Diceros bicornis minor: one gene and its partner. The protein of the gene in region 1 purifies or fractionates together with the protein of each later gene. This does not show direct contact. Links are inferred from orthologs where the notes say so. Each region holds a gene or a part of one and is shown on either strand. Other genes may lie near its edges.

Region 1 (16,075 bases):
GCAGCCTTCTGCTGCAAGGAGATGCTGGGACTGGACAGGTAGGTGGGACAAGAGGAAGTGCTGAGAGCAGCCCAGGCTCCGGATGGATTTGGGTCTGATAGTTGAATTGCAACACACCTAGGCCTTGAATTAAGGTTCCCACCTCAGCTGTCTGTGGGGCCTTTTCCCCCCTCCTTCCTCTGAACAGTACACTGGCTCTCCGCTTTTCTCTCTGTTCCTCATTCTTGGCACGGCCGCTGCAGGCTCCGAGAGCAGCAGTCCCTCCCGCCTCAGCTAGCTCAGCCCGGCGTTACTCTGCAGCCGCTGACCCCGGCCCTTCCCAGTCGGGTAAGTGGTTTGGTCATCTCTGGCCTCTGACTCCTCCGATGAGAAATCCAGCCCAACCCAGCGGTCCAGCCACACCTCAGCAGTTCTCTCAAAATGGTGGCTACAAAGATAATCAAAATGGGCCAAAAAGCAAAACTATGACTGTAGATCAGTGGTTGCCAGGGGCTGGGGGTCAGGAGGTAGGGGAGGGGGTTGACAGCAAGGGGGCATGAGGGAACATTTTGGGGTGATGGAAATATTCTATAGGGTGATTCTCACAATAGCTACTAGGCTATATGCAGTTGTAAAATAACATTAAATTGTACACTTAAACTTGTAAATTTTATTGTATGTAAATTATTCCTCTATAAACCTGATATTTTAAAATGACCAAAATGAAGTAGAGAGATTACCTATGTATTTAAATTATCTTACATCCTCTGGTAATAAAATGAGTAGAGGTCTACAGTTTTTTCCCCCTAAGAATCATCCCTCCTGGTCCTGCCATTTTTTGCCCACTTCAAAAACCCACCCATTCGCCCAGTGCGAAGTGACTCAGATGGGCAGTTAGTAGTGGCAGCAGCAGAGAGGAAGACAATGTCACATAGGACCAAAACAGTCTGTCAGTGTTTCTGTCTTCTAAGAGGATGCATAATTCACATCAGATCACCACAGGTCGCGTTTCTTACAGAGGGTGGTGGCTGGGCAGGGACAGAGAAAGAAATTACACAGTGTAGATGGCCCCTGTTTAGCCCAGGATTTTGGTCACTCACCCAGAAGGGGTCACAGAGGATCTGGAATAAGTCACGTCAGCCTGAGAAGCAGCAGCTTGTGAGCTGGTGAGTGGGTTTGGGCCGCGCCTGAGGCAGGGGGCCTCCGAATGGAAGTTAGACAGCTGTGCTGGCCACCTGAGTCCCTGGCTGCCAGCGCCTGCTCGGGTTCTGCCTGAGGCTGGGGTTGTGGTGAGGAGAGCTAGCTGCCCTGCATTAGAAATGGGGAGGGATCTGGTTCCTTGTCCAGGGGCAGGAGGCTTGAGGAGCTGAGCAGGAGAGGGCAGGGGAGAGTGGGGGCTAGGGCCCGGTAGTAGAAATGGGAACTTCTGAACAGAAGTTGTCTGATGCTTAATTTTGAAACACCTGTGGCGCTGTGATGTGAATCCTTCCATCTCTCCAAACCTTTGATGAAGTCTGTGAAATACCAAATCTTTCTGTGAAAGACTATTTGGATGAATTTCAGGAAAAGGGCTAACCTCCATGCCTGGGCAAAGAACAGGGTCCACGAGCCCAGGATTCCAAAATGACCCATAAAGTGATCAGACCCCCCCAATACAGAAATAATTATAGGGTACCTGCTGTGCAGCCATAAATGTTTGCTGTTGTTATTATTATTTTACATTGTGGCCAGCACCAGGTGATGTGTGGAGGGTGGGGCAGAGAATAGGAGCAGTGGAGGAGGCAGGCAATAAACAGACTAACATGTATTGAAATTAGTGAAAGCCCACTTTCCAAAGCTGCCCCTAAGGTACTCGGTCCTTCTGAGGAAGCAAAGGCCACGTTGGGGTGAGGCTCTCACTTCATTGGGCGACTAGCACCGTGCTGGGCAGCTGCCAGCCTGCCACACGCCAGCACCAGGGCCTCAGTCTCTGAGCTCACCTGCATCAACTGTTGGGGCCCAGGGCAGGCCACCCCAAAGTATCCCACAATGACATATTGATTATTTTGAATTAATGTCACTTGAGAAGCAAAAAGGACATTCTGACCCTCCTGTCTCTGTCCCCCCTGAAAGCAGGAAATCAATCTCCTATGGAAAAAGTGCTCTCCCTCCATCCTTATCACCAGAGCTAGGGAATGCCGGGCCGAGAAGTCAGCATAAACAAACCTTGTTAATTTACTAACTCAAGCCTAAACTCTATTTAAATTCCTCACTAATTACATACCTCAAACCTAAGTTTCTTTGTCCTGTCATTCCTCACAAATTTATTATTTCTTTATATAAAAAGATATCTTTCTGCCTGCTTTGTTCACTCTCCAAGCATCATTTATCTATGATCTCCAGTACACATGAATTAAATTGGTTTTTTTCCTGTTAATTTGGTCTTATGTCAATTTTATTACTAGTCCAGCCGTAAGAACACAAGAAGGGTAGACGGGAAATGTCTTCCTCCCAGACACTACTCAGCCCACATCCCATACAACAATGCAGTGACAGTCAAAGAGGACAAGATCAATGTCCTCTTTAAAGTAGCTGGTGTAAATGCTGAGCCTTTCTGGCCAGGCTTGTTGGCAAGGACGCTGGCCGATGTCAATACCAGGAGCCTCTTCTGCAACGTAGCAGCTGGTGGCCCTGCCCCAGCAGGAGGTCCTGCCCCCATCCCACCCCCTACTGCTGCTGTCCCTGTGGAAGAAAAAGAGTGGGAGCAAAGAAAGAGGAATCTGAGGAGTCCCATGATGCCATGGGCTTCAGTCTTTTTTTTTTTGGTGAGGAGGACTAGCCCTGAGCTAACATCTGTTGCCAATCCTCCTCTTTTTGCCAAGGAAGATTGGCCCTGAGATAACATCTGCCCATCTTCCTCTATTTTATACGTGGGACCCCTGCCACAGCATGGCCTGATAAGTGGTGCGGAAGTCCATGCCTGGGATCCGGGCCTGCAAACCCTAGGCCGCCAAAGTGGAGTGCACGAACTTAACCACCACGCCACTGGGCCAGCCCCTGGGCTTCAGTCTTTTTGATTAAATCTCTTTGAAAACAAGTTAAATAAAAAGCTGGACCCTTAAAAAAAGTAGGAGCTGAGAATCCAAGGTAACTAAGAAACATATCATCCACCTCACCCACCATCACACACCAGCACTCTTACACCAAATTCCTGGAGAGATGTGAGATGTGAAGGACATGGGGACTCTCACTGTAAGTGAGGGAAAGTTTTGCGCCTATTTCCTTTGAATCACAAAGAATGGGGATTGCAGCTTACCTCTGGAATATTGCATTTAAAACACCTTAGTAAATATTGCATTTAAAACAATGGCTTTGGGGCCAGCCCGGTGGCACAGCTCTGCTTTGGTGGCCCAAATGTTCCCAGGTTTGGATCCCGGATGTAGATGGACGCACCGCTTGTCAAGCCATGCTGTGGCAGCGTCCCATATAAAGTAGAGGAAGATGGGCACAGATGTTAGCCCAGGGCCGGTCTTCCTCAGCACAAAGAGGAGGACTGGCAACAGATGTTAGCTCAGGGCTAATCTTCCTCACAAAAAACAAAAACAAGGCGTTAACAACTGCTATTCAAAGAGGCCTTAATACGCACCAGGTTATGCACTAGGCACTTTATATATAAAATCTCACTTACACTGTACAACCATGAGTAAGTTTTATTAGCCCCCATTTTACAGATGAGAATACGGAGGCTCAGTGAGGTTCAGTAAACTGCCTGAGTTCCCCAAGCCAAGAAAATGCAGAGCCAGGATTAGAACCCATGTCTCTGAGACTCCAGACACCACATATAACCAAATGCCAAAGAGGGCAGCATGACCAGTCTTTGCACTGGCCAATTCACTCACTCATTTAATAAATTTTTGTTGAGCACCTATGATGTACCAGGCACTGGGAATGCAGCAGTGAACACAATCTCTGCCCCCAAGGAGCAAAAGGAGCAGCTCAGAACTAAGGTGAGCTACAAAACATACCTGCCTGTGACAGAAACATATACACCAGCCCGTATCCACCAGCTCCCTGCCCCCACGGCCAAGGTGGGGGCAGCTGTCCTTTAGCGACTTCTTCATCTTTAATTTGAAGAGGGCTCATTCTCACTGTCAGTCTCTGCCAGCCCACCCCCATCTCCCACCAACTCCCCCAGAAGAAGGTGGATTTCTTCATGTCTTCAAACTAAACAAGTTTTCCAGCTTTTCTGGTGGAAGAATTTTTGTTTGTTGAAGGAGCAAGTCTTGACTTGCTCAGTCCTCTCTGCAGGGCAGAGATAAAACTGGAAGGATAATGAAAGAGTTGCTGAAATCACTGGACCAGAGCTGACTCTCTGGGGGCCGGGGGGCTTGGGAAATCCTCCCGATCCCAAACGGTCTGGTTGCCTTCCTATCTTTTAAGCTGTTTCTCTTACTATGACTCAGATCCCAGACTTTCAGATAACAATCCTCTCCTCACTCAAAGGAGTTCAGTGCTGCTTTGCTTGCTGCTATTAGGTAAGAGAATAGTTTTCTCAACTGATGATACGAAAAGACTGAGCTTACTCAGTTATCTTTGTCTTACCCTGGGAAGAAGATTTTATTTTAAAATAAACCCCTTAGAAACTTTGTCCTTATCACTAGTACTGTCCTACCTCCACAGCAGAACAAATTAGCACTGGATTGTTTTTATGGCCTAGTCGTCCTTATTGCTCATTACATAATGGCTCTCTGTGGGCCTTGTGTCCCCAGGAAGACTCTAGGCGCCTCTGACGAGAGTTACATTGCTTGGCTCCCCTGGGTCAGCCGTGCTCAGGGCTGTGCTAGGCACTTAGGCTGCTCAGTATTTCTTGATTACCCTGTAGTCACTGCTAAATAGCAGACTCAGCCTCAGAGCAGGAAGAAAATGGAATATTTTTCTGCTGCATTTGAAAATACTCTTTGCAAACAGTTTGTTCATGTCTCTAGAGCAGGATAGAGACCAGATGTAGGCAGTGGACATGTCTTATCTGGGGGGAAAACGAGGCTTAAGATGATAAATATCTTGGGACATGATAAAACCCAGAGGCTCCTTCCTGAGCCATCACTAATTAAAAAAAAAAAAAAATCTAGTAATATATGACCTTATCAGAGAAGTTTATGTTCAGTTGAAAACCAAACTATTTTGAGCTGAGCAAGTGAGAACTCAAATTATAGCGGTGCAGAGCAAACCGTTGTGGATGTCTTGCTAAGTTTCTCAGGGACAGTGATTTTCAGAGGTGACAGGATTAAAGAGAAACCTTTCATGATGTCCTACAGGAAATAGACTCTGCATGGGGCCCAAATCACACAGGTGCTCAATAAATATGTTTTATTTGTAAGATGTATTTATTAAACAAACACTTACATTGCACTTAGAGTATGTCAGGCACCATTCTACATGCTTTACAACTATTTACTCTTCTTCCTTTCTCTTCCTGCTTTGTGGCTGAGTGTGCTTACTCGGCAGTGACAATAGGGTAAATCGAGAAATACCGAGGAGCGCAAAGTGCCTAGGGTAGCCGCAGGCATGGAGGACCCATCTATTTGGGTTGACATATGTTGGCCTCAGCCCGGGGCTCTGTTCAGGCAGGAGCATCCTCTGTGTCAAGCATGGCTCTAGCCATTACCTCATCTGTCCTGCACAACGACCCCGCTGGCGCCTCTGTTCTCTGGCTTGCGTGCCCTCCTGTCCTCCTGCTGCTCTGAGGCTGAACCAGATGAAAACTGCTGATCTTTGTTGCTGGCGTTTCGACTGTTTTTGCTTTATAAAAAAATGACAATTTCATGCCATTCAACCTAATCCTGCCTACATTTTAGAGGAGAGAAGCAGACGCTTGGAGTGGTTAAGTAACTGGCCTTAAAGTCTCAGAGGTAATCAATAGCAGTCTGGATTCAGCATCCAGTTTGCCTCCTGAACTTCTTAGAATGCTGCTTTAACCACACGTTAATAGCATGGGCCCAAGAACCAGCTGCTTGGGTTTGAATATCAGATCATCTACTTACCAGCCTGTGACTTTGGGATAAACACTTTTCCTCTCTATGCTTCAGTTTTCTCATCTGTAAAATGGGGATAATAATAATGCAGTATTGTCCAGTTTGTGGGGTTGCCTTGAGGATGGAATGAGGACACCTAAGTACAGAGTTTAGGTAGCGCCTGGCAGTCAGTAAGCACTCTATACGTGTGAGCTCTTATCTTCAGGTTTCCTTTAATACTTGTTGTCCTGCTAGCGTAAATATACTAACACACACACAACTCCTTAGTCTGCTAATATAACACCATAGAGAGAAACTCAATAGAAACTTTATTACAATGCCAGGTAGATGGGAGAGGAAAGATTCATCTCAGGCCTGAGAGCCTCTGCCACAATTTCCCTACATCACTGGGGCTGAAAACGTGCTTTAGTGTCACACTACTAGATTTTCCCCCCCTTTTCTTTATTTTTTCAAGGGGGGAGAAGGGGCTGTCACTTCTAAGGAGTACAGCTTTGATTTATCATTCTTGACACGGAGCCAAAAAGCCTCCAGACAAGGGGAGCGCAGCAGGAGGACAGGAGGCCAACGACACTTCTTGTAAATAGTCCCCAAATCAATCCCAGCGGGGGCGCGGGAAATTCCACCGAGTTAAAAGTCTAGGAAGCGGTGTCAAGTTCACCCCAGGAGGGCTGGGGTGAGGAAATCCCCGTCTCCCCTGTCCCAGAAAGCGCTCAGGTTGAAGTCATTTGTCTAAAGGGGACTCGGGCATATTAGGGCTCAGCTTAGGACTGCTCTTTTATCTCAGGGAGCACAGCCTGACCAACTTCGACAGGAGTTGTCTAGAAGCCGCACACCCTCCCGGGATCACCTGGGCGGGGGTCGCCGGGCGCGGCCGGCTGGCGCGGGCACGGGGCGTCGCCTGACCCCCCACCTTCCCCCCCTCCCCCCGCGGCCCCTTTAAGGGCCGGCCGGCCCACGTGCCTCTTGACGTCAGAGCAGGAAGTGTTTGAGGAAGTCGCGCTCCGCTGGCAGGTTTAAGATTCCCGCATTTTAATGTCTTCGGGGTGGTGCCCGAGACCCCAGTGGTGCCGCCCAGCCCCTGCCTCCCCCGCCCCGGGCAGCCGCTCCCCCGCCCCGCGGCCCCGCCGACAGGTGAGTCCCTCGGGCGGCGCGGTCCTGGTGCCACCTGCAGACCCCGCGTCGCCTCTGCCTCGGCGGGCTCGCACCTCCCTCCTCACTTGAGGCTCCTGAAGAAACTTGTGTGGAGTTTGAAAGTCGGGGGGGGGTGGGGTTCCGGGCGTGGAAGCGATCCTCTCGTCGGGTTGGAGTCGGGGGCCCGGGACAGCCCTGGCCAGGTGGTTCCAGGGGGCGGCTTCGAGGTGGGTGGCTTTGGGAGAGAGCCCTGATTCACTGGGACTGTGTGAAGACACGTGACCGCGGGGACGCTCACGGCTCTCCCTGCACCTCGGGCGGCGTGCCGCGGGGCTCGCGCCGCTGGCTGGAGTCCAGGCTGGGCTCCCCCGCCGAGGTCCTGGGCTGTGGGCCGTCATCTCCTTTGGGTGGCTTTCCTCCCTCCGTGCTTCCACAGCCGCTGAGGTGGGGGTGGAGGACGATGAGCAAGACAAAAGTTTGCCCCCAAAACCAAAAACCCAAACAGAGAAACTGGTTTATTTACAAAACGAAAATCAGCTCAGGTTCTTCTCTCACATTGAAGGGCAGTGGTCTCTCTCACCTTCCCCGTCCCTGTCTCCCAGAGTTGCATTTTGTCTCAACCTTAACCTTTTGTCCCCACCCCGAATTGCTTACAGAGTTAGCACCGCATCAGTATGAGCTGGTCACCCTCCCTGCCAACCCAGACATGTGGGGCCTGGGAAATGAAAGAGCGGCTTGGGACAGGGGGATTTGGAAACGTCATCCGATGGCACAATCAGGTAGGGGCTCTGTGCAGCTGGGAAGGGCCAGGGTCGGCAGGGTTTGGGGGTGGGGAACACAGGCCCCCTCTCGCTGCCTCTACCCCACGTGGTGCTGGATGGGTCAATGGGGCTCACCTTTGGCCATGGGCTTCTTGGGAAGGAGTGAGAGAGGGAGACTGGGAAGAGGGCTTCAGGGCTGCTAAGCTGGCTCTGGGTTAGTGGTCTCTGCGCTTTATTGACTATGCCACCTAAATAAATAGTAAAAAAATTTAAGCTTTCAGCCTCAATTATATATATTTTAAGTTATATATCTGTCCTAATATTAGACTATCATGTGCTAATCTATTGTGTACTAATCTATTACATGCTATAAAGTTTGGTATGCTACACTTCAGCGGCCCTGGATCGGTTCCCAGGCACGGACCTACACTGCTGGTCAGTGGCCATGCTGTGGCAGCGGCCCACATACAAAATAGAGGAAGATTTGCAACAGATGTTAGCTCAGGGTGCATCTTCCTCACGCAAAAAGAGGAGCATTGGCGACGGATGTTAGCTCAGGGCCAAACTTCCTCAGCAAAAACAAAACAAAACAAAACAAAAAACACAAAAATAAAAATTTAAAGGATGAGAATAATAAAATTTTTTAACTGTTTTAAAAATTAATTTTAAAAATATTTTAAATATTTACCAATTATAATGTCTTCCCAGTATTGTTTACAATACTTCACAGCACAAAATATTCTGATCTACGTGAAAGTGAGAATTATCGTTAAGGATTGTGGATGAAAATCTGTATTTCAAATAATTTTTATAATTTTGAATTATTTGGACCAATTTCTTTTTAGATCTGGTTAGTTCCTCGTTGTTTTTATTCCTTATGTGTCTGACATGAGTTTCTCACACTAGAAGTGTCACTTCTTCCATATTCCTGTTTGTGCAGGTGTTACACGTACTGAAACTCTCTGCAGGAAATCTCTTTAAGCCACTCATCCATTTTATGAGTGTTCTTTTATTAAAATTGCATAATACAATCCGTAGCTCTACCTCAGTGGGGCACATGTAATCCGCATCGCGTCCCCATAGGCCCCTGTCCACCCCCTGCCAGTGGAACGCCCATTTTCCTCAGGATACCTCGAGTACCAGAACTGGCACATGACCTTCTGACGAATGATATGAGGAGGGTGCCATACAGTTAGTATCAGAAAAGCTTAATTTCTTTTTATTTTCTTGGATCCCAGTCTTGGGTAACCCCTGGGGTGCATACACCCAATTTGGAGACCACTGCTCTGGGGAACCCTCACTCACCAAATACGTAATAGTAGCTTCCTGACCCAAACTTCAGACCCACTGAAGTCCTTGAAGGAAGGTGCCTGCTTTTTAACCAAGGGCGGCTGAGCACCTTTTGGACTGAAGGGATGGCAGATCACACGCTGCTTCCCAGGAGCCTGGCTGCAGCAATCGCGGAGGGTCATTGAGGCTACTGATCAGCCATGTTGAGGGTCATTCCAGTCAGCCATCCATCCACCGTCATCATTTAGTGGGAAGACATTCTAGGCCCTGCCTTGAGTGCTGCCAGCTCTGAGCAGATCGAATGACCCCTAGAGAAATAGGGAGCCAGAGCTGGAGGGCAGAGTACAGTTCTGCAGGCGGTAATTCTCACACCCAAATGGGAAGCTAGGCTTCCAGCAAACCCCGTGGCTGAGGGGGCCTAAGAAACAAAACTGGCTCAAACTTGTTCTAGTCAGAGTATAGTTGGGAGCCTAGCATTTTAACAGAGCAGCCAGATCATTCTACAGCCCTACATATACCTGGGCTGGACTGTTTCTGAATAGGCCAGGGTTTTTAGAGTCTTGACTATAGCAGATATCTTGCTGCAGCCGCGCTAGAGACGTCTCGGTTTCCTTTGAAAAGAGTTCTGTCCGAATGCGCCACGTATCTGTCATCTTTAAGTCAAAATGACCTCCATTTGCTCTCTGGGCTTGGAAAGCTGTTGTCAGATGAAATGTGTTTCTGGCTTTATAGATATGAGCCTGAGAGAGAGAGAGAGAGAGTGTGTGTGTGTATGTATGTATTAGTCTTCTAAATTACTACTTTCAAGTTCCTTCCTCTATTCAAAAACTTTCATTTGTTCTTTATTTTTAAAAAGCCAAAAGCCAAATTCCTCATTCTGCCACTTGAGGCCCCTCCACAGCCTGGCCTCACCCTGTCTTTCTTTTTTTTTTTTTAATTTTATTTATTTATTTTTTCCCCCAAAGCCCCAGTAGATAGTTGTATGTCATAGTTGCACAGCCTTCTAGTTGCTGTATGTGGGACGCGGCCTCAGCATGGCCGGAGAAGCAGTGCGTCGGTGCGCGCCCAGGATCCGAACCCGGGCCGCCAGCAGCGGAGCGCGTGCGCTTAACCGCCAAGCCACGGGGCCGGCCCATCACCCTGTCTTTCTAGCATTACCTTCCCTTGTTGGCTCCCAACAGGTTGGTCGGTTGAGCCCTCTCTGGGACAAGCCTCTGTCTCCTGAACAGCTTTATGTAAATTCTGCCCGTTCCTCCAGGAGCGGCTGTAGACCACCTCCTCTGTAAACCCGTCATGGACTCCTTCATTCCGTGGGCATTAGTCTTCCATTGAATTCCTTCAGCTCCCCTCGTTTGCCGTGCCTCATGTACTGCCTTTTTGTGTGTGGGTAGGAGTGTATCTTGTCAAGGCTCTAAGTTCCTGGTCAGCCAGGGCTGTCTGGCTTGGGGTTTCTTTCAATTTTCCCATAGCAACTATCTTTATGTGATACATGTGTTAGGTGCACAAAATCATTTATCAAAATGATTTTGATAAAGACCTTTTTGGAAACGAAAAAGCCATTAATCAGTAATTACACCTGTAGACTCCCAACCATGCTGAGTGGGACATGAGAGAGGGGCCCAGTGCAGTGAGACCCTATACCGGGGGCAGCATCAGTCGGGGGTCAGGGAAGGCTTCCCCAAGGAGGTGGCTCTTGAGCAGAGACCTGAGGGATTGGTAGAAGTTAGCCGTGCAGAGAAGGTGGGAAGAGAGTTCCAGGCGGAGGGGCAGCCTGTTCAGAGCCCCGTGTGGGGGGATGAAAGGCCAGGGGGAGCCGGGTGCAAGGGAGGTGGGAGTGTAGAAGGCAAGAGTCAGACCCTGCTGAGGAGGTTTTGTTTTCATCCAAAGAGCAACGGGAAGCTGTTGAAGGGAGGTCCACTCTGACTGTGGGGACAGATTGGAAGGGGCCCAGGCAGTGGTGTGCTGGGAAATCAGCTCTCGGAAAAAACGCCCTGTTGGGTAATGTTTACCAGTTTCCACAGGTAACTACTCCCATCATGGCTCATTTCAAGCCACTGACAGTTTCACAACCAGTTCTCACCGAATTCCTGAATATTTAAGTCAGCTCTCAGAGGCTGGTACTAGGACACCACGACTGCCCTGTCATCAGAGGAGACCGATTATGAGGCTTTTGGGGTAGTCCAGGTGAGAGATTGGACAGGCTGATGGTGGTGCAGATGGAGAGAGTGGGCAGATGTAAGAGCTGTTTTAGGGGTAAAACTGATAGGCCTTAGTGGTGGAACAGAAAGTGGAGGGGCTGAGGGAGAGGCAGGAGTCGAGTGCTCACAGATGCCGAGTGCACGCTTGCTGAGCCTGGCTCCGTCCAGGCAGCTCTCCAGCATCCTCTTGGGGTGTTCCTCTGTTGGAGAAATCCCTAGGGCTGCTTGGGGTGCTTAGGGGAGGTTCTTTAATTGACGTTCAGGATCAGAACATGAGCAGTGTGTCCTCTGATGGATACCCGTCTGTTCAAAGCCTCTGAAGAAGGCAGCTGGGATGGGGTGGTCAGCACACTGACCCTAAAAGGAAGTAATGTCTTTACTCCCATTTTATAGCTGAAGAAACTGAAGCTCAGAGAGGTTAACCCCAAGATGCTAAGCTAGTAAGTGAGGGAGCTGGAATCTGAACCTACATCTATCCGCATCCCAACCTCAACCTCACGCTTTCTCCACTGTGGCTTGTGACTTCTCCATTGTGTGGAATCCAAGGTTAGGGTTGCCCCTAGAACATTCTCAGGACTCCGCAGTCTGTCTAAACTATTTTGAAGCACTAAGGGGAAAACTTTCCTTTGGAGGACAAATATATAAGTCTTCCTTGTTAAACAAGAACTCCAAAATAAATATTTCCCAGTGAAGAAGGGCAGGGTAACAAATGACCCACCCGTTTCCTGAGTTTTTTGGTTCTCTTAGCAAGCATGGGCCTTGACCATCCTTGCTATGTTGGCACTCCCTTAAATCTTCAGCCCAAGGATCAGTCGAGTCTAGATAGGTTGGTATTTTCAATAAGGTCTTTGTTAAATACAAAGGAAGAAGAAAAGGAGATGACCTGAGTGACCTCAGCCTGCAGCACCTTTTGGGACTAATGGGGAAAAAACACATAGCTCTCAATCACACGGACCTGGGTTCAAATTCTGGCTGTTATTGCCAGCTTCGTGGCTTTGGGCCACAACCTGCCACGTGGATTTGGAGGATGCTAAGATATTGATCCCCTTGGTTCTAAGCATGCCTGGGCTGGACATGGGGCGGCTGCTCTCTGGAAGCATCTGGAAGCATCCCAGGTGCCTTGCAAATATCATATTCTCTGTGCACTTTGATGTGAAAGAGGCTGGAAAGTGCTGCCTTGGATCCTAAAGGATACGTGTGAGGATGAAATGAGGTGATGTAAGCACTGGCTGTTACAAAGATGGAAAAGGTAAGGTATTGTTAATTATCCCTTCTAGGAAGTAGTACTGACTTTACTTGTACCCTCACTGGACAGGAATAAGTTCACTTCAGCTTATCTGTGTGTTTTGAAGTCTTAAAGACTTTAGTCAGTCAGTTCACTGAGAATTTATTGAGTGCTGGCCTAAGCTCCATCAGGGATCCATCAGGGAAGAAGAGATGATGTGTCCTTAATGTGCCTGTGCTCTAATCAAGGAGGTAAAAGGGAGACTTAGGAACATATCAAATAAGTCTAAATATAAGCACTAAATTGTGTGGCCATAATGATGGCTACTATTTATCAAGAGTGTCCTGTGCCGCTTGTGCTGGGTGCTCTATCCATATTGTCTCCTGAATGCTCAGAGGTGGTAGAAGGCTTCTTGAGGAAATGGAACTTAATCAGAATCTTGAAAGCAGGAAGACTGTAGGTAGTCAGGAGAAGAGAAGGCAATTCAAATGTATAGAGCAGCATCTACCTAGAGCCAGAGAAAGGAAATGATACTACTGTAATTTACTCAAGGCTCACTCTGTATCAGACACTCCATCTCGTTTAAACTGACAGCACTGGGAGGGGTAGAGTCATCTCCATCTTATGGCTAATGACCCAGAAGCTAAGGAATGGGCCCAGTGTCACACATTTACCAAGTGAAGGATGAGGGAGTTACACTGGGACCTACTTCGCCCCTGAGCCCCTGTGGGTGAGTTTGGAGGCCACTGTGTCCGTTGAGTGTGTCCGTTGAGGGAGTGCCTTGAGGTCAGAGCCCTCTCAGCATAGACTGGTCAACGCTGTTGAGTCAGGGGCAAAGCTACAGCCAGACCCTGGATCTTTTGACTCTCAGGCCTGGGTTCTGTCCCTAGGATCTCTTTGGGCCCAGCTTTGCCACTCCTTTCTGAAACATTCATCTTGGAGGGCAGGGCCTGAGAAGGAAGGAGGAGGTTATTATCAGTTGCCCCCTTATACCACAAGGGCCTGGTGGGTGGTTGCCGTGATAACAAGAGCCAGCTTTCTGAGCTAAGGCTTTGAATGTACCTCTTGCCTTCCTGTGAGTTTCCCTTAGTAGTTAAAAGAAGGCTGACTTTGGGAATCTGGGCCAGCTTCTTCATAGACTGGCCTTCCAGCTCACTTCTGCTGTAGCACCTGTTGGTAGCTCTTAGCAGTCTGAAGATGTGTCTCCCACCCCCCTCTACACTTTATAATACACTCACATTTATACACAGGTTTTGTGTTTTCGCCTACAAAAGGCAAAGAACCGCAGAGACTCTAAGGACCTTCATAATCAACTGCATTCAGTGTAGATGATACTGTTGGCCCCTTTCTCCATTTTCTCAAAATACAAACCAATTTTAAGTTTTGTCCCACAAAAGGAGTCCACTTACTAGAACTTGGGTATTGAGATAGTTCTGGCCAAGTGTAGGTTTCCACAGAACTGAGCTGAGACTCTAGGAGGTTCCAGGCCAAATAAAGAAAGGCATCCACTGCTCTTTGAGTTTCATTGCTGGTGAAGAACAAACTCCCCAGGGTTTCAAAACCATATTCGTTGTCTGTTTCTGTACTGTTTAATTGAATTTTGCTTTCTAGAGCAGGTATGTTTTTAGCAATAGAAAGTCATTGTTTGGGTTTCTTTTTCAAATGAAACATTACTCGTGGAAAAACTGGCATGTTTTAGAATACTTCCTAGAGGGCCACTGTGTAAGAAAGTTTGTGTGTCTGTATCTGTAAGACATTTCCAGGCCTAGGAAGTTAGGATTTCCCCTGCAACCGTAGGACTGAGCTGAGTTCTCCACAAATAGAAAGTCAGCTTTGGTCTCTGCCCACTTATTCCACGACATGTTCAGTGCTGCTATTGCTAAGCTCCCTCTTTAGTCTGAGTTTGGATACTGAAGCCAATATCAAATCTTCAGTCTTTAATCTTCAATATCAAAATTTATTCCTGGATTCTGGGTTGGGCCACGTGACAGATATGTGTTAGGTCCAATGTTTGTTTTAAGCAAAAGACTACGATTGTCCACCATTATCCAGTGTATAGGCAGACCTAAAATATTTTCTAAGTCACTTAGTAAATCTACCTTTTGAGTTTGATTTATCTGTCATTTTAGGAAGGAAGCATACTGTTTGTGGTGGGCACAGTAATGGGAACTCCTGAAGATGTCTATATCCTAATCCTCTGAACCTGTGAATATGTTAGGTTACATGGCAAAGGGGAATTAAGGTTGTAGATGAAATTAAGGTTGCTAATCAGCTGACCTTAGATGGGATGATTATCCTGGATTTTCTGGGTGGGCCCAGTGTAATCACAAGGGTCCTTAAAAGTGGAAGAGGGGTGCTGGTCCGGTGACGCAAGCGGTTAAGTGCACGCGCTCCACTGTAGCGGCCCGGGGTTCGCCGGTTCAGATCCCGGGCACGCACCAATGCACAGCTTGTTAAGCCATGCTGTGGCGGCGTCCCATATAAAGTAGAGGAAGATGGGCACGGATGTTAGCCCAGGGCCAGTCTTCCTCAGCTAAAAAGAGGAGGATTGGCTTCGGATGTTAGCTCAGGGCTGGTCTTCCTCACAAAAAAAAAGTGGAAGAGGGAGGCAGGAGAATCAATGTCAGAGTGATACAATGTGACAAAGACTCAACTGTCATTGCTGCCTTTGAGGATGGTGGAAGGGGCCATGAGCCAAGGAATTCGAGCAGCCTCTAAAAAGCTGGAAAAGGGCGAGGAAGCGTATTCTCTCTTAGAGCCTCAGGAAGGAACACAGCCCTGCCGATATCTTGATTTTAGCCCAGTGAGACCTGTGGCAGACTTCTGGTCTCCAGAACTGTGAGGAAATAAATTTGTGTTGTTTTAAGCCACTAAGTTTGTGGCAATTTGTTATAGCAGCAATAGAAAACTAACACACTATCCTGTGTATTGAAGTTAAAATAGGTGCAGATTTTTAAATATCTTGGTTTAAACTCTCAGAGTCATTCTGAGGTAACAAACCATGAGTTGCAATATCCTCTACTAAACTGTTGCTTATGACACTGTCCATCAAAACACTGCATGCTGAGTGTATGCTCTCAACAGTGTTACCTCATTTTACAGCGTGGCCCATCAGTCTTCTCTCATTTGTAGAGTTCTGCGTTTCACAGTCTGAGTTTCTGTGGAGATCCCACCTAACTGGAAACAAAACATCTATAAGGGCACATTGGAGCCGCTATTGGTGAAGTTACCATAACACTGGGCAAAAATGTTTGAGTCTGAACGCTAATGGGAAGTGAAACTTGAAACCAAATTCAAATCAGTTTGAGAACAGACAGAGGAATTGGGAAGTTCATGATGTAGAGGGTATAAGATTTTGTGAGATGTAACATAGTCTCCTTGTACATTAATTAAAGAACAGTGGTATTCTTTTGACACGTTCTCTAACTCTTGAAATGTGTTAGATGGACTTCTACCCAAGGTCACTGGTACAACTGTACT
Region 2 (16,843 bases), on another chromosome or scaffold:
ACATTCCATTTTCAAATAACCATTTTATTGGGGTTGACGCAGACAGAAAAGTACACAAGCCACAAATGCACAGCTCAATGGATTACTTCAAAGTGAACATGATTATGTAACCACCTCCTACGTCAAGTGATAAAATACCACCAGTGCAGCATAAGCCACTCTGAGGTCCTTTCCCAGACACTATGCCACCTGCCTCCCCAAATGTAGCATCCACTATCCTGACTTTTCATAGCGTGCATTCGTTGTACCCATTTTTGAGCTTTACGTAAATGAAATCATATAGTCGGTGTTCATTTAGACCCAACATCATTCACTCAGCACTATGATTGTGAGAAGTGTTCATACTGCAGCAGTAGTTCATTTTCATTGCTGCGTCCTATCCATTGGTTGACGTACCACAATGTGTTGATGCATTCTACGGGTAATAGACGCTTGGGCTGTTTCCATCATGGGGGGATTGTGAACAGCGCTGTGATGAATACGTTTACTCGCCTTTTAGTGCATGTATATGTACACATTTCTGTGAGTTATGTACTCACGGAATGCTTGGGTCACAGGGCATGCATATGCTCAGCTTTAGCAAATACTGCCAGTTTCCCAAGGTTGTACTAATTTGCATGAGAATTCCACTTTCTCCACATCCTCCCCATAATGTACATAATGGACTCACTATGTCCAGGGAGTTACAAAGTAGATCATGGTATTTCTGGAATTTTCTTTCTTAGCTAAGAAATAAAAGGAAGAATTTAAGTTTAGGACCGCGGAAGAGGTCTCCATTCTATCCAGATGAAATGGCAAGGAAAAGAGAAAGTGTGAACCTGCAAAAAGTAAGTAAACGTAGAGAGGTTTGGGGAAATAACACAAGTGCAATAGTTTTGTTTTTTTTAATTCTTCTTAGTGCTTTGACACTCTGTGGAATATGCAAAAGGCCATAATACCCTCAGGGACCTATGTTTAAAGACTTTCAGTTGATTTATTGTTTGGTTTCTTTAGCTTGGGTTCTCACTACATTCCTAGGAAAAGTGGCAGCTTGGTAATAGAGCTGTGGTGGCTCGAATATGCTGCACCTTGCTGTGTCACCCAGAAGCCTTTTAAGATCTTAAGTTTCTAAGTCGTTTTAAGTTCCCTTGGCAGGTCAGGTCACATGACATAAAGGTTCTCAAGCAACAGTTTTCTTGTCGTTTGCTTAGAGAGAAACATTCTTAGTGTGATTAAAATTTAATCCACATTTCTGCAGCCCCCTCAAATCTACGTAACACTCGAACTTATTCTTCAGTATCAGTTGCTTTAGCCTGACCAAAAGCCTTTTCCTCTAGTTAAAAGTGCACAATCCAGTGAGTAAACAGGGAGCTGGTTGGGTTTCTTTCCCTGCGCAGCGGAAACTGCTTAAAATGAGTTACATTTGAAGAAAAAAAATAAAGCCATTCTGTGGAGTTATAAGGGCAGACAAACAGTATCATTATTCATTCTTTAAGGTATTTTTTTGTGTGGGAGTAATTTTCGTCCTTTAGTAAAAAGCAAAGTAGCTAGGCCTATTTGAGCACCCAGAGCATTCTAAACATCTGCCTAAAAATCATATTTGTCATTCTTTGAAAAATAAAAACATCAACAAATCAAGTGAAAATCAAACTATTAAAAAATGTGCTATGAACTGTCAGCTACAAATTGTACGATGTAGATAGTTTTAGCTACAGTGTCAAGATCCATGCCCTCAGCCACGACTAGGATAAGATACCAGAACAGTTATCTTTATATTTTGAGATTCTAAGAGATTTCAATTTTCTTTTATAAACATTTTTATATTTTTGAAATGTTCTATGATGAATCTTCATTACTTTATCATCAAGCAACCAGAAAAAGTTATTTCTAAAGTAAAATAATTCCAAAAATTATGCGTAGATAAAAGAATGTAAAGAAATACACCAAAATGTTAATTGTCTTTGGATTGTGGAATTATGGGTAATCTTTTTCTTTTTTCCTTTTTTCTAATTTCTAGATGTGTGTGTATGTGAGTGTGTGCATGCAAGTGAATGCATAACTTTTATCATAGGAAAAATAATAAGCCTTATTTTTCAAAACCTGCATGCAGAATATGATCCCTACTGTTAGCCTCCGTAGTTGGTGGCCAGAATTCTCTAGACACTTCAGCATAGGTCTGAATGAGCACCATCTTGGTTGTGATTCTGGATCTTGCGTTCACTTGCTATGTGATCTTGGATAAATTATTTATCCTCTCTGAGCCTCAGTGTTCTCATCTGTAAAGTGTGAATAACACCACCTATGTTATAGGATTATTACGAGGGTAAATAAGATCCTATAAGTAACATACCACTACAAATGGGCTATACAGGGCAGCTGATCATTCAACGTACAGCATCCTCTTCCTAAGGTTTATAGAGATCAAAGCACATGAGAGCCCTTACCTACTCAGTCTTCGCTATGAAATTGGCAGGATGTAATATGAATATCTCCCTTTTATTAATTTTAATACAAACATGTAGAGGAAAGGATTTGTGAAATAATGCATGACATTTATAATCTATTTAGAAAAATAAATATATCTTCCAATTTCGAACAGATACCACATATCTTCGATTTTTGAGCATAACATCTCCATCAAGCTCTAGCATGAGGTGTAAAAAGATTAATTTATTTTTCATTATTTTAAGGTTGTTTTAAGTACAAATATAAGCTAGATGATTACTTAACTATTGAACATCTGCTCTCTGAATTATATGCTGAATCTCAAATGTAGAGCTTTACTTCTTTTGTTTGCTGACTCTGCCTAGTGATAAGCAGAAAGAAAGAAAACAAAGAAGAAGAAAACATCTGCTCGAATCTACTTACAACATATGAGTCAATGCAAGTTTAAAAAAACAACCGGTGTCAAGGGTTGCCATTTGGGGGCTAAAAACAAACCTTTCAAGGGTGAGAGGGTTGGGTTGGCGAGACCATGAAGCAGAGCGCGTCGAACTGACTCACACAACAGCCAAATATGGTCAACTCAGCCTCTGTAGGCCATGTTCTAACCACTGAGAAAAAAAGAAATTCCTTAGGTTTTTGTTCCACAAGAATTTTACTTGAAAGTGAATGATTGAAACTACGGTGTAGACAGGAAAACTGTACACAAAGAAGAGCATAATGATGTTCAGTGTTTTCTTGGGCCATCAGTGCATGACTTCCTTGACAGTAATAAAAATTTTTTATACCAGTGAATATGTTAAATTAACAATGACTACGACCAGAAGCAAATTTTGTTACATTCCCCATCACTGACAACTAGAACTTTCTTTTAATTGACATTCTCAGAAGTTTTTTTTGTTTGTTTTTAATTTTTTTATTTATATTTTTATTGCGGTAACATTGGTTGATAACATTGTATAAATTTCAGGTGTACATCATTATACTTCTATTTCTGCATAGATTACATCATGTTCACCAACCACATACTAATTACAATCCATCACCACACACATGTGCCTAATCATCCCTTTCTCCCTCCTCCGTCCTCCCTTCCCCTCTGGTAACCACCAATCCAATCTCTGTCTCTATGTGATTGTTTGTTGTTGTTTTTATCTTCTACTTATGAGTGAAATCATACAGTATTTGACATTCTCCCTCTGACTTATTTCACTTAGCGTAATACTCTCAATGTCCACTTATTCTCAGAATTTTATAGCTGGAAGAAACCTGATAGAATATTCCATGTAGTCCAACGTACTTTTGTAAAATGAAAAATCCCCTCCCTCCATATGTGTGTGTGTTTGTATGTGTGTGTGTGAATGGCAGAATAAACCATATACAGTACGCATTTGAGGGGTATGGACTGAAGGAGAAGGGCGTGATGGGGGCAACTGTGGTATGTGCCTTGTTAAAAATGAGATTGAGAGACAAAATGGTTTAGGCTAAAGTCATATGCTTTCATTGATAGATTTTCAAATCCAAGGGCAATTGTACTATGTCAAATTGTAGAATTGCAATAATCAAATTTATAAATATGACAGAAGGCTTGATTTCTTGATTTCTTCCTCCTGGATTCACAGATTAATTCTCAGATTTATCAAACTTTCCTGGGGAGGAATTCTCATCAAGCTGTACAAGCTTTCCGACTTTCAGGCTGCTGTTGCTTTTCTGCTGCTGAAAGAGAATCACTAAAAAGTGGGCTGTATAGATTATTCTATCTAATCAATATCTCTTTAATTTCAGACAAAAATTTGTATTCATTTGGGCCACACTCACTATGCTGATATCTCGACTCACTCAATCCAGAACTGTATCTGTAGTCCTTAGAAATATCAGACCTTCCCCCCATCCTGAGTCTACCCTTAGAACTTACAAACACGCCAGAAGTTTATTGTGTTATCTTGCATCTATGTTAAAACAACATTGCATATCTTATTCACTGATTCAGATACTTATAATTAGTCTCTTTATTGGCAGTGATGACTTAAAAAAATCAGGCCTTTAGGATTTCAGAAGGCACGACCAAAACAAGACAATATTGTGTTTGCATAACTCCCCTACCTTTTTAAAAAAATAAAATAAAAGGAACACTTTCATGCTCAATTTCATTCTTTTATAATGTAATAATAATTCATGCTCAGGAAAAAAATGATCTACTCTAAATGTTATGCATCATTAAAGATTAAATTTTGTTTTCCATGGTTGTATTATTAAGTGGGCATTTTATACACCCTAATTTACAAATTGCCCATGCATACATGTGTTAACATTTTTCTTCTTAGAATACCTTATTCACCGGGACATCCACAAACATACACAATTCTTTTACTGCTTCAAGAGTCAGGCTATAATTTCACTTCTTGTCTTGTTTCTGTTTGATGCAAAAATCAGGGATTTGAGGGTAACAGACTGGGAGTCAAGCCACAACCGCCACCACCAATTGGCTCGATGAGCCTGGCAAGTCACCTGTTTGACTGCTAGGACTCAGCCATCTGTAAAATGAAGAGGACATTACTCATCTCATGGGATTCGTTGTAAGAATCAAATGAAATGATGGAAATAAAGTGTTTAACACCAGGCCCTGATACACGTCGTAAATGCACAACAAATATTAGCTAGTATTAGGTTCACTCATCACCTCTTTCTTAAAGGAAGACTTTGTACCTACCTCCCCACCTACCTTGTCTAAAATTTTAAAATTAGCTTAACATTACTAAGCATTACAAAAACAACAGAACTTTCACAAATATCACGTTATGAACACTGTCCCTTTTTTCCCTCAGCATTCACCTTCCCTCTCAGGGTCTGGAAGAGTTGATATCAATCTTATTACCAGCAGGAATCAAGGTTTATTTACTCCCCAAGGAGACTGCCAATTTTTGCTTCAGGTTTAGAGCTCTTTCTCACAATAACAATTTCTAACTTCTAATTATCTTTTCTTCCCACTTGACAACACGAAGTTGAAGTGAAGAGGAAAAAAAATTCTCTTTCCCTTGTCCAAGCTGTGAATTTAAAATACCTGTATTTTTGTCTGTGCCTCTGTCACTCTGACCCACAGCTCCTAGAATAATTTTGACATTTTCTGAATAAATTGATGCTAGACTCGGCATGTTTTTCAAGTCTTTGGTTAGGGTAGATCATTGTCTTCTGATATTCCATGCTGATTCTTCTGAGGATTCAGGAGGACCACTTTAAAAACTATGTCTGCCAGCCTTTAGAAAAAGTGGATAGCTGGGTAGCCAAATTCCTCATGAAATAGCCCAACCTGGTTTCCTCTGAGTGCTGATTTTCTGCAGACAGAGGCGTCCTTGTTACATAATCCTGTGCTCAAATTGTCTGTGTTTGTCATATCCTACTTCTCCCCAAATACCATCTTTCTCCAAATTGGGGCTCCTAAGGACATTTTCTTTTTAATTTCTTTCCTAAATCCTTCATGGAATGTTAACCTCACAGAAGGGCGCAAGAAGTGGTCTCTTTCAGAGACAGAGCATAATTGTCAACTAGATCCAAAATGAAAGCAAAGTGTCGTCTCAGGCTCCCTTTTGCAAATCTCAGGCTGAAGGAAGATGGATTGCAGTATCTCCAGGGACAAGACTCATGGGAGTCGTTTATTTCTTAGCTCTGGATCCAAAGTAGGAATCACATCTTTCCTGGCTGAAGTGAACTGAAGCGGCTGCCCACAGTCTGAGTTCAGCACGATTCCAGGAAACTTTAGGGCAAAACCTGAAGGAGGAAAAGAAGTACAAAACTGAAAGTTCGAGTGTGTGTAACGTAGTGAGTGGAACCTCACCACCCACACGTAGTCCCCTCCAGGAAATGCCATTTCCTCTTCCAGGAAACAAAGGTGTGGAGGACTTCTGAGCAGCAGCCATGTTGATAAAACAACGAGAGAATGTCTACTATGAAACAGAAATGCCTTGTAGCCCGAGGAAAGAGAAGGCTGGCAGCACAGCATGCTGGAGTCAAAAGACCCAGAGGTATCTTGAACGTCTAGCACACATCAAGAACAAATTTGGATTATTTTCTTTTAGATGAGATTCAAAATAAACAAAAAAAATCCCATTTCTAGACATATGATGAATATTGTTTTAAAAGATCCAGTCTTCAAATGAATGGGTTTCCAACTGTAGGACTACATGGTTATAGAATAGCATGGTTGTGTGAGTCTCCAGAGACCGGCTGTCCAGAAGAGAGAAGCAGAGAACGGAGGGAATGGTTCTAGAACGGAGGCAGTATTCAATAGTGCTGGAGCAGGCTGCTTCAGACTGGCCTGAGTTTGAATCCTGGTCTGGTAATTTACTAACGGTGGGAACTTGGGCAAGCTGCATAATCCTTCTAAATCTCATTATTCTCATCTCCAAAATAGAGATGAGGATATAATATCTACCTCCTAAGATTGTTATGAGGATTAAATGAATATTGCATTGAAAGTGTTGATCATAATGCCTGCCCCAAGACACGATCATCATCATCATCATCATCGTCATTTTTGAAACCTTTGTTAAAGCCACTGACTATTGACTAAATTAAAAGGACATGTGAATTTCCCTTGAGCCCCTATATGTACTTAATCTCTTTCTCAAGTAGTGAGTGCCTACTGAGTGCCAGGCTCTGGTGATGTCTTGGTGAGCCGGCGCATCTGAGGTTCTGTCCACCCTCACACCTCCTGGCTAGAATCTTCCAAGAGGTGGCAGCCTCTCTGTTGGATGATCCTGGCCTGAGGGTCCATCCAATGCTGTTAGACATTAACAAATGGGAGAGAGGGGCTAATTTTCATGGAACATATTTTTTGTCCTTAAAAGCAGTGTGTGTTTGCTTTGCTGAGTTCTTATAGATGAGGGGAAAGAGTCATCATATCAAACACTTCTGGGCCTCAGTTTTTCATCTTTAAATTAAAAACTAGCTGTAGACTGAGGTCCTTTTCAGCTAACACTGTACTTCCATGATCAGAAGCCTACAAATCGGAGGTTTGGCTCTTTCATAGACTTTAATCTCTCTCTCAAAAAAAAGAGATTATTGCTTTATTTCTCAGACTAATTCCGTCTTACTATGTTATAGCCACAAAAGACTTAACCAAGTGCATGTTAACCATTTAATGTCATAATGGAAAGGGAACAGCTCTATCATAGTATTGGTAACCAGGCATATAGTTTTACTAACCTGAATGAAAAATTAATTCTATGGAGTACAGCAAGAACCACCCCAATGATCCTGGTTCACGACGATCATTAATACCAATAGCACTGCGTAAAAATCTTCCAATGACAATGCTCTGTAGCATTACATTGCAGCTTCAAGGGCGTTCAAGTTTAAAGTGTGCACCTCTGGAAACTATATATAAATTATAAAGACAGTTGTGCAGAAACAGAAAATCAACATCATAAGTAGGACACAACCAGAGAAGATTATCCACCGGACAGAACTGCACCGACTTCTCAGGCAGGTAATTTTAAAAGAGCAATGTTCACAAGTACTTTCAGGTGTAAAAACAGACAGAACAGACGGAACGTTTTTTACCGATTGACCCTGATCCTTCCCACTGGAAGGATCGTTTTGGGTTTTCAGTTTGGTTAGATGTAGAATCAGGCGGTCTCATGCTTCCTTTTCCTTGCGCTCAGCATGTGGCTAATGCCAGGCGCCCCTTGTGGGCCCTCCTTCAGCATCGTCACCCCAGGGTACCCCATCCTCATCTTCTCCTGGTTGTAGCGCAGCGGAGCGCGAATCGCCAGGAAGGAGCGAGGCTGGAGGCGAGGGGCGGGCACAGAGGCGGAGAGGAGGCGCTCGGCACCGCGGTGCGCGCGGGCTGCGGGTTCCTGGGCGGCGTCCGGGGAGCCCGCTCGGGCGATCGGGGCGCAGGGTGACGAGCGCCCCCTGGCCGGCGCCGCCCGCGGGCGCAGCCCTGCGCCGGCCCCGCCAGTGCCCGCGCCAGCGCCGAGCAGCCGCGCGCCCGGACCGGCAGCCCACCCTGCAGGTACGTCCCTCCGCGCGTCGCCGGCCCGGGAAGGGAAGGGGGTCTGCGCGGGGCCAAGATCGCGGCCTAGCGGGGCGAGGCCCACCCAGCTCCGGCTTTGAGGTGTTCCAGGAAGAGGGGAGCAGGATGAGAGCGAAATCGAAAAGACACTCGAGCGCAGCAAACTTCTGGTCATTTGCTTCCCGTGGGTTCTTGTGTGCGGGTTGCGCAGGATGCTGCGGACCTTGGTCGTGGGGTGGCCACCGGGTCTGGGGCCGGAGGCGCCTCCTCCTTCCTTCTCGATTTTTGTTTTTGTTTTTGATTTTTTTTTTTACTCTCACCTGAACTAATGGGGAAGAGAGAGAGGGAAGAAGGCGGCGGCAAGTTTTATATTCTTGGCAAACCTTTGTAAATAGAGATGTTTGATGCGATGGCAACCTGTCCACAGAGGAGAATAACTTGTTTTCTTGGAATTTGCTAGAACAGCGGACAGGGCTGCCAACACTCACACTTCTAAACAAACCAAGTGTCTTCTCCAGGGCCTGGGGTAGGCTGGCGCGGGTCTGATAAATACCAAAAAAAAAAAAAAAAAAAAAAAAAGTCCGGCGCTCAATCCTGTAACCTTGACTGAGATTATCAGCTCTGAGGGCCACATATTAAGAAAGTAGAGTTAAATATCTTTATTTTATTGGATTTTTGAGAACCCCAATTATCAATGTGAAAGAAACTGTTGGTGCTAAAGGCTTGGGCACTCCGCATGGGCATGAATGAAGAGAGAACCAAAGGCTGACTGCGCTGGGAGATTCTGGTCATTTCTGCAAGGATAGTGCCACTGAGCTGCCTTGTCCTTGGGAGACACCCTGCTCAGAGTGGTGCTAATAAAAGATGATTCAGTAATGGCACGAGCTGACAGGGAGGGGGGTGGTGACATGGAGAGAAGAATGAGGACTCGCTGCTCTCTCCCTGTCACTGATGACAATGAACCACCGTAGGTAGTGCGCGGGTCCGCAGGTGCCGGGTGGGCTTTCTGAACACAAGTCTGGCAGCTCCACTCCGTTATTTATCCCCTTGCATTGTCCTCTAGAAGCTGTGACCACCACCGGTCCTTTCCTGGACGAAGATGTTTGAATACAGACAAATCCTATTTGTAAGGTCCTGCGTGCCCCCCACTCCCACCGCACACCCTGACTTTGTGAATCACCATCTTCATTTTTTCTCTAACTTATCTTGGGTAACTCTCATAAAGTGGCAGGCTTACTGCTTATGCTTAGTATCTTTTAAAAATGCTGTGTCTAGTGGGAAGAAGGGTGACATTTACTAATTTGGTTGCAAATTACTTTTGAAGTTTATGCACAGCTGTTTAAACTGCCTCAGAGGAGCCCAGGGCTCTTGTCTGATGCAGGTGTCTGCCACAGAATGATCTTGTTCTCTCTTTCTTCTGCTGACTGGAACATTCATTTATTTAAAGATGCAGCATAGGAAGAGCTTCTAAAACATTCAACGCCTCAGCTGCGAAACTCCTCTAAGTTAGCAAATGAGTCTAAATTAAGTTGTTTTGTTTGGTTTTGTTTTTTTGTGTGTGTTTTTTCCTTTCACCAACTTTTATCTCTGATTTCAAGAGTAACCTGCTCGGCATCACCCGCCTTTGTTTTAGCCTCCTGTGATTTTCTTGTAAACTTTTAAAATGTAAACTTCCAAGGAGGACTCTCGTCACCACCCTCCGCTTTGTCATGTTCACTTCCGCCACTGTCTTGTGCTATGGTGGCTCGGGATGGCAAGCGGCTCTTGGGCAAACTTCTTCGTTCGTTTTCCTACCAAGTCCACCTCCCTAGGAGAGAAACTCCTTTATTGAGTCTGCTTTGAACATACATGGGTCAACTACTGGAACTGAGGGTTCTTTAGCTGATGTCCCACTTCTCTTTCTCGTAGGCAGGGATACTGTTCCATTATTCACACCTTGGTCCTTCTTTTAATTTCAAAGATGCCTTTTAACACCAATACTTGATTTCTCGTGTTCCTAACAGGTACTGTAGGCTCCCCTGAATATCCCATTTGTCTTTGGTCATTTCTATCAAGGTTCTTCATTCCATTCTGTTCTGTGGAAAAGAAAAAATGCTTCCGTACAATGAATTTGATGTTTTATTGAAAATTCCCTGTAGGCTGGATCTGGGATTTTCTTTCGAGAGTAAGGGCTTATGGTACAAATCTGTGAGTGGCATGCAGGAGTAGTGCTCCACAAATCTCCTTATAATACAGTATTTAATGTTAGTACATTTGCCTTCCCTTAGAATAGGAATTAGAGTTAGTACTTGCTGTTTTTAATGCATTTCATGTTTTGGAGTTACTGCTTATGTTGTCTGCCCCTGAAAATATTGCTGATATTTTAATCTAATGTGACTGTTTGTTAATAAGGGTATATTTGATTTCAAGTGACTTCCTTTTTACAGGGTTCGATCTTTCATTTTTTTTTCAGGTAATTTCCCCAAATCATGTAAAATAAAAAAATTATTATATGATGAAAAATACCAGAGAACACAAATGCATCACGTGATTCCATATTTATATAGTTTTATTGCCCCAAATCAAATCTGTCATTAAACGTAGGGAAATTAGTCTTGTGGTGACGTACGTAGCGTTAAATTCATTCTTTCTGTTTCTGTCCATTGTTTTAAAACTTTATCTCATTTTCAAGCAGCAATGCATCTAGCTTTGCTTTTTCATACGTATTCTGGCTGTTGAGGCAGCAATCATGAGAAACTCATAGAAAAACATGATGGTGAGGCAAAAGGTGAGTGAAAAGATGTTTTCTTGCAATAAGGGAAACATCTTACATTAACGTGTCAAGTGTTTATATACAAATTCACATAGCTGTGTCATCTAAAAATATCCTTGGGGCAAAATGAGAATCAGAGGTTTCAGAAATTAGGAATAGCTCACTCTAAGCCCAGAATCATAGATTTCTGCCTTGAGATATAATTAGCAGATATTTTAAAGACACTCACTTTGGCAACACATACTTCTACAGGTCACTATAGGTTGATGTTAACTTTTGATTTAAGCTAATAATATCGATGATAATAATAATCGAGCCAACAAAAGTAATAAAGCATGGTTTTATTGATGCATTATTTGTTATAATTTATGTGCCAGATATTATACTCAGAATTTTATTTATATTTCACAAACATTACTACCTTATTTAATCTTTGCAAAGCTTTTATAAATTAGATATTATCATTATCCTCATCATCATCATCATCCTCATCCTCATTTTACAGATAAGGAAACTGAAGCTCAGAGAGGTTAAGTCACTTGCCCAGCTCTTATAGCAGTAGAGTCAGGTTTGCCTGAGCATCAAGCAGTTGCCATAAACCGCAAAGCTGGACAACCTATGAATTAAAATTTTTTTAAATTGTAGTAAAATACATGTAACATAAAATTTACCATCTTAATCATTTTTAAATGTACAGTTCAGTGGCGTTAAGGACATACACATTGTTGTGCAACCATCACCTCCATGCATCTCCAGAACTCTTTTCATCTTGTAAAACTGAAACTCTCTCATTAAACACTAACTCCCCACTCCCCACCTCCAGCCCGTGACAACCTCCGTTCTGCTTTCTGTCTCTATGAATTTGACTAGTCTAGGTACCTCACCTACATGGAATCATACAGTATTTGTCTTTTTGTGACTTGCTGTCTCACTTAGCATAATCTCCTTCAGGTTCATCTATGTTGTTGCATGTGTCAGAATTTCCTTCCTTTTTAAGGTTGACTAATATTCCATTGTAGGTTTATATCCCATTTTGTTTATCCATTCATCTGTCCATGGACATGTGTCCATGTCCATGGATTTACGAATAATGCTGCTATGAACATAGGTGTACATGTATCTCTTCAAGTCTCTGCTTTAAATTCTTTTGGTTATATACCCAGAGGTGGAATTGCTGGATTAAATGGTAATTATATGTTTAACTTTTTGAGGGACCACCATACTGTTTTCCATGGCAACCACACCATTTTACATTCCTACCAACAGTGCACAAGGGTTTCAGTTTCTCCACATCCTCACCAACACTTGTTATTTTCTGTTTTTTGATAGTGGCCATCCTAATGGATGTAAGGTGATAACCAGTTAACTTTTTACGAAATCATTTGATGACTGATGTCAGGGGTCTGTGGGCTGATGCTCCTTCTGAATTCATCGTTTTTTCCTACCTCGCCTTGTGCTTATGTACCTTTCTCTAGTGCAGAATCATTGGAGGAACTACTACTCAAGCATCCCCTGAAGGACTAGGGAAACCATGGACAGGAAGGTTTCTAAAAGATAAACCAAATGTCCCTCTAGGTAGAGTTGCCTCTACCTACATGAAGGGCGTGGTGATTTGGAAACAAATAGTTGTCAAGAATAAAGTAAAGATGATGTTAGTATTAATAAGTCTAAATGTGTGGAATAGACCACTTGCGGGAGGTTAAAGGCTGAATTATCTCTTGTATGAGATCAAAACAAGACAAATCCCCAGGACAATGGAGAAAACCAAAAGGGGGGTGGCCATGCTTGAATCCAGCAGGCTTTTGTTGGGAGCCGCAGAGCCACGCACTGCGCGGTGTAACCCGCGGCGGAGACGCAGCCAAGCAAATAGGGAATCACAGTGAAGTGTGCTGGTCTCATCGTGTGTTTATATTGTTATATGTCAGTTTATAATATTACAGTGTGCGGTTATACTACGTATTTGTTTGTTTACTTTGTCTTTTTTCTCCTCTAGAATGTAAACTCCATGAGGGCCAGCTATCCCCGCCTGGTACACAGCAGGCCCTCAGTGAATAAGTGCAGAATGAAGGTATAGGTGCTATACTAGGGACATACACGGTGCTACAGGAGCACCTAGACTTGGAGTGTCTGAGAATATGTCCCAGATGGCCCAGTGGGACCTGAAGGGTAGGTAGCAGTGAGCCAGGTGAAGACATTCCAGAAGGTGGAACAGCATTTGTAGAATGGCCTAGCAGCATTTGAGCATGATGTCCTAGCGAAGGAAAGGAACGCTCGGTTTGAATATAGCCGGTGAGTGGAATAGAGCAGAGTGAGCCCAGAGGCTTCCACCTCAAAGCATGTGGTTGCAACTACTCTTTAGTTACAAGTGCAAAGAGCAGACTCCTTACCTCCCTTGGCTATCCCATCCTCCTTCCCCTCTCCAACCATCTGAGTTGTTCCACTGAGTGGAGGCTAAAGTGAGGAGAGTGCTGCCAAGGGAGGGGTGAGTTTCCAAAGCAAACCAAGGGCTACGAGTTCATGGTCAGATGAGATGACTCTTCACAGCCAAGGTGAGCAAGAAGCCAAGTCTTTCACGAAAGTAAACTGCAATGTCCTTCTTGCCATTTTGGAAGAAGGTCATCTCAGCAGTCTGTCTAGCATTTTTAGCATAGCAGCTTTCAACATTCTCCATTCTGTGGTCCATTTATGTATTTATTTCAATGATGCACAAACAAGCCTCTTACACAGTGTTTTTCAAACTGCAAGACACAGTCCATCATTGGATTATGAAATTAATTTATTGAGTTGTGACAAGCATATCTTTAAAAATGAAATAGAACAGAAAGTACTAGAATGCATTTCATGTTGCAAGAGCAATTATTTCATGAAATTTTGTGTCATGGAGTTTGGGACATATTAAATCTGTTTCATACCTAAAGGTTTGAAAATTATAGACTAATGGCATTTGGCTTTTTATACCATTGCTTTAAGTCTACATAGAGCATGATTCTACATAGAATCACATAAGCTTAGGGCTGGAGGGAGGAAGGAGACATGGAAAGGAAAGGGACATCTGTTGAGCATGCACTGTTTCCAAGTGCCTGGACACATGAGATCATTCACTCCTAGAGCCCTGTGCATTGGGTGGATCATTCACGGTTTATGGAGGAGACATTGAGGCTTGGAGAGGTTAAGAAATTTGATCAAGGGTCACACAGCAAATTACTAGCAGCGAACTCTGATCTCTTGGCTCCTAATTTAAAATTCTTTTTCTGCCTTCATGGGTTATATTCCCAAAGTTTGTTCATTGGTTGGCTGTTTGGGGAAGACAGTTCCTCAGAGAAAGTGTTATAACCATACTCCACATGTGTTAGAAAGAATATGTGCTTTGAGATATACTCTATCAGCTTCTTACAAACTAGATCACTTAGAAAGAAATCATATTGATTATACAGACCAGGGAACATTCAGCCTGAAGCTGACAAAGATGGTGACGGCCACTCTTTCTTGCCCTGGAGCTTTCCCTTTGCTGCCGGGAGAAGACAAGCCTGGTGGTGCCATGTGAGATGGTGTGCTTTCCTTTCCAAAGCTGGGGTCCCGGGGACGATAGCCAAATCCACCTGTTTACTTTTCCCATGTCCATACAGAGGTTGATGGGTTCTACTGGACAGAATTATGCAACTATGCAAATTCATGATGCTCTAATTCCATGATTTCTAACTTCAGCCAGGCTCTCAGACTTTCTGTGGTCAGCTCTCTTTTGCTTTCTATGGCAGCTGTTTCAGACTTTCTCCTGCCTCCACCGTCCCTCACTCTCTGCATGTTGCCTTGCTTCCTGCTTCACTGAGAAAATGGAAGTTTCCCTGATGGGAACAACTTGACCTGTGACCACAGGGCCACAAACCTAACTTTATTTGGATCCACCTTCCCATCCTTCCCTTCTTTTCCATTGGAAAAAAGAAAAAGAAAAAGCCTCCCCTCCTGTCTCATGTTCCTCCTCCACTGGTGCTCTGGAACCCATTTCTTCCTCATTCTGCGGAACCTCCTTGTCTTGACTGCCTCCTCCCTCACCTGCATTTTCCTTCCTGCCCTCATTATTGGTTCCATTCTCACTGCGTCTATCATGCTTAAATCCATTCCTTCTGTGAAGAAAAAGACCAGCTTTCTATGCCTTCCTCCGGCTTCTCCGTTTTCTCTTTCCTCCTCTTCATGACCAGACTCTTTAAATGGTCCTCTCCACCTGCGGCTCTTTCCTAGTTCCACGTCTTGGCCACAGACATCTGGCTTTGCCTCCACTGCTTCTGGGACACTCTCATGCTCACACTCCGTATTGCTAATTCTTGCTAAATTCTAACCTGACTTCTCTGCTGAGCACTCCTGCGTTCTTGCAGCAATGTTTTCCTTCCATCCTCCCGTCCCTTTCTCCTTCCTTCCTTTCTTCTGCTTTGCAAGCTCCTCCTCTCCATTCTGTCCCATGAAAGGTTGATGTTCCTCAATTTTCTCACCCCATGGGCAACCTCATCTCTCATTGACTTTAATATCCAACTCCTTGCTGACCACTAGCCAGCTGTTACCTATCCAAAGTCCTGCTGATCCTCTTCTGCAGCTAGCTGATGGGCACATCCAACACTGTGTGCCCCAAACTGAACTCATCATCTTCCGTTTTCTCTTCCCACAAATATTCTCCTCCCACTCTTTTCTCTATCTGGCACTGGCATCACCTGTTCTTGCACAACCAGATATCTGGATGTTTTTCCTTGACTCCTCACCTCCACAGCTCACCCAAAACTAAGTTCTGTTAGTTCCACCCGCTGTGTATCTCCTTATCCCATCCACCCTTTCCTTTCCCCACTCTCTGTTCCCAAGGCCACCACCATTTCTCTTCTGGATTACTGCAGGCACCTCCTAACTTGTCTCTGTTACTATGGATTGTTCTCCCTGCTGTTCTAGAAGAACAGGATTGTCCTAGAAGGAATGATCCTTCTAGAACCCAGATCTGACATGTTACTCCTTGGTTTAAACTCTCCGATGGCTACCCAATGCACTTGGAATGAAACCCAGATCCCATAACATGAATTAGAAGGTTCTAGTTGATGTACACTTCCCTGTCCTTTCCAGCCTCATCTCTCCAGCACCACACACATCACATTCCTCCAAGTCCGAGCCTCCTTGGGTTCCTTAGCAGCCCCATGCATCCTGTTGCCTCCTGGAACTTTCTGCCCCTCCTCTAAACTACTTCCTTTGGCTAATTCCTAGACATCTTCGATCCCTAACTTAGACATCTTTTCCTCTAGAAAGCTTTTCCAGATCCTCCACATTAGGATTTTTTTTCTTCCCACATGTTCTTAAAGCACATATAAGATCATCTATATAGACTATTTAGCATCGTGCATGATGGATAGTAACCAATCACTAAACGTCAGCTGCTCGGCACTTAGACTGTATTGCCATTGTTAATTTTCTTTCAGGCTTCCCCAATAGATTGTAAACCCTGTGAGGGCAAAGCCACATTCTCTCTTATTCTTGGTTGACTCCCTAGCATCTAGCACAGTATCTGACATAGAGTAGGTCCTCAATAAATATGAGTGTGATAAATAATGAGCCATAAATTTTAGACCCTGTGATGTCTAAGGTACCGTGTGCTAATTGATAAGAGAAGAGAATCCCAATCTATGGGT

The links.
Region 2: the proteins of IKBKB (region 1) and PRKCQ purify together in Homo sapiens (affinity purification with western blotting; 4 studies listed by BioGRID). This does not show direct contact. The link is inferred for Diceros bicornis minor from reciprocal best matches to the Homo sapiens genes IKBKB and PRKCQ.

What each region holds. Positions count from the first base shown.
Region 1 is NC_080768.1:39,332,707-39,348,781, forward strand, and holds the start of IKBKB (inhibitor of nuclear factor kappa-B kinase subunit beta), read left to right. Parts: upstream 1-6,982; 5' UTR 6,983-7,121; intron 7,122-7,777; 5' UTR 7,778-7,795; coding exon 7,796-7,900; intron 7,901-16,075.
Region 2 is NC_080775.1:7,743,969-7,760,811, reverse strand, and holds the start of PRKCQ (protein kinase C theta type), read left to right. Parts: upstream 1-8,395; 5' UTR 8,396-8,434; intron 8,435-16,843. UniProt on the Homo sapiens protein: Calcium-independent, phospholipid- and diacylglycerol (DAG)-dependent serine/threonine-protein kinase that mediates non-redundant functions in T-cell receptor (TCR) signaling, including T-cells activation, proliferation, differentiation and survival, by mediating activation of multiple transcription factors such as NF-kappa-B, JUN, NFATC1 and NFATC2.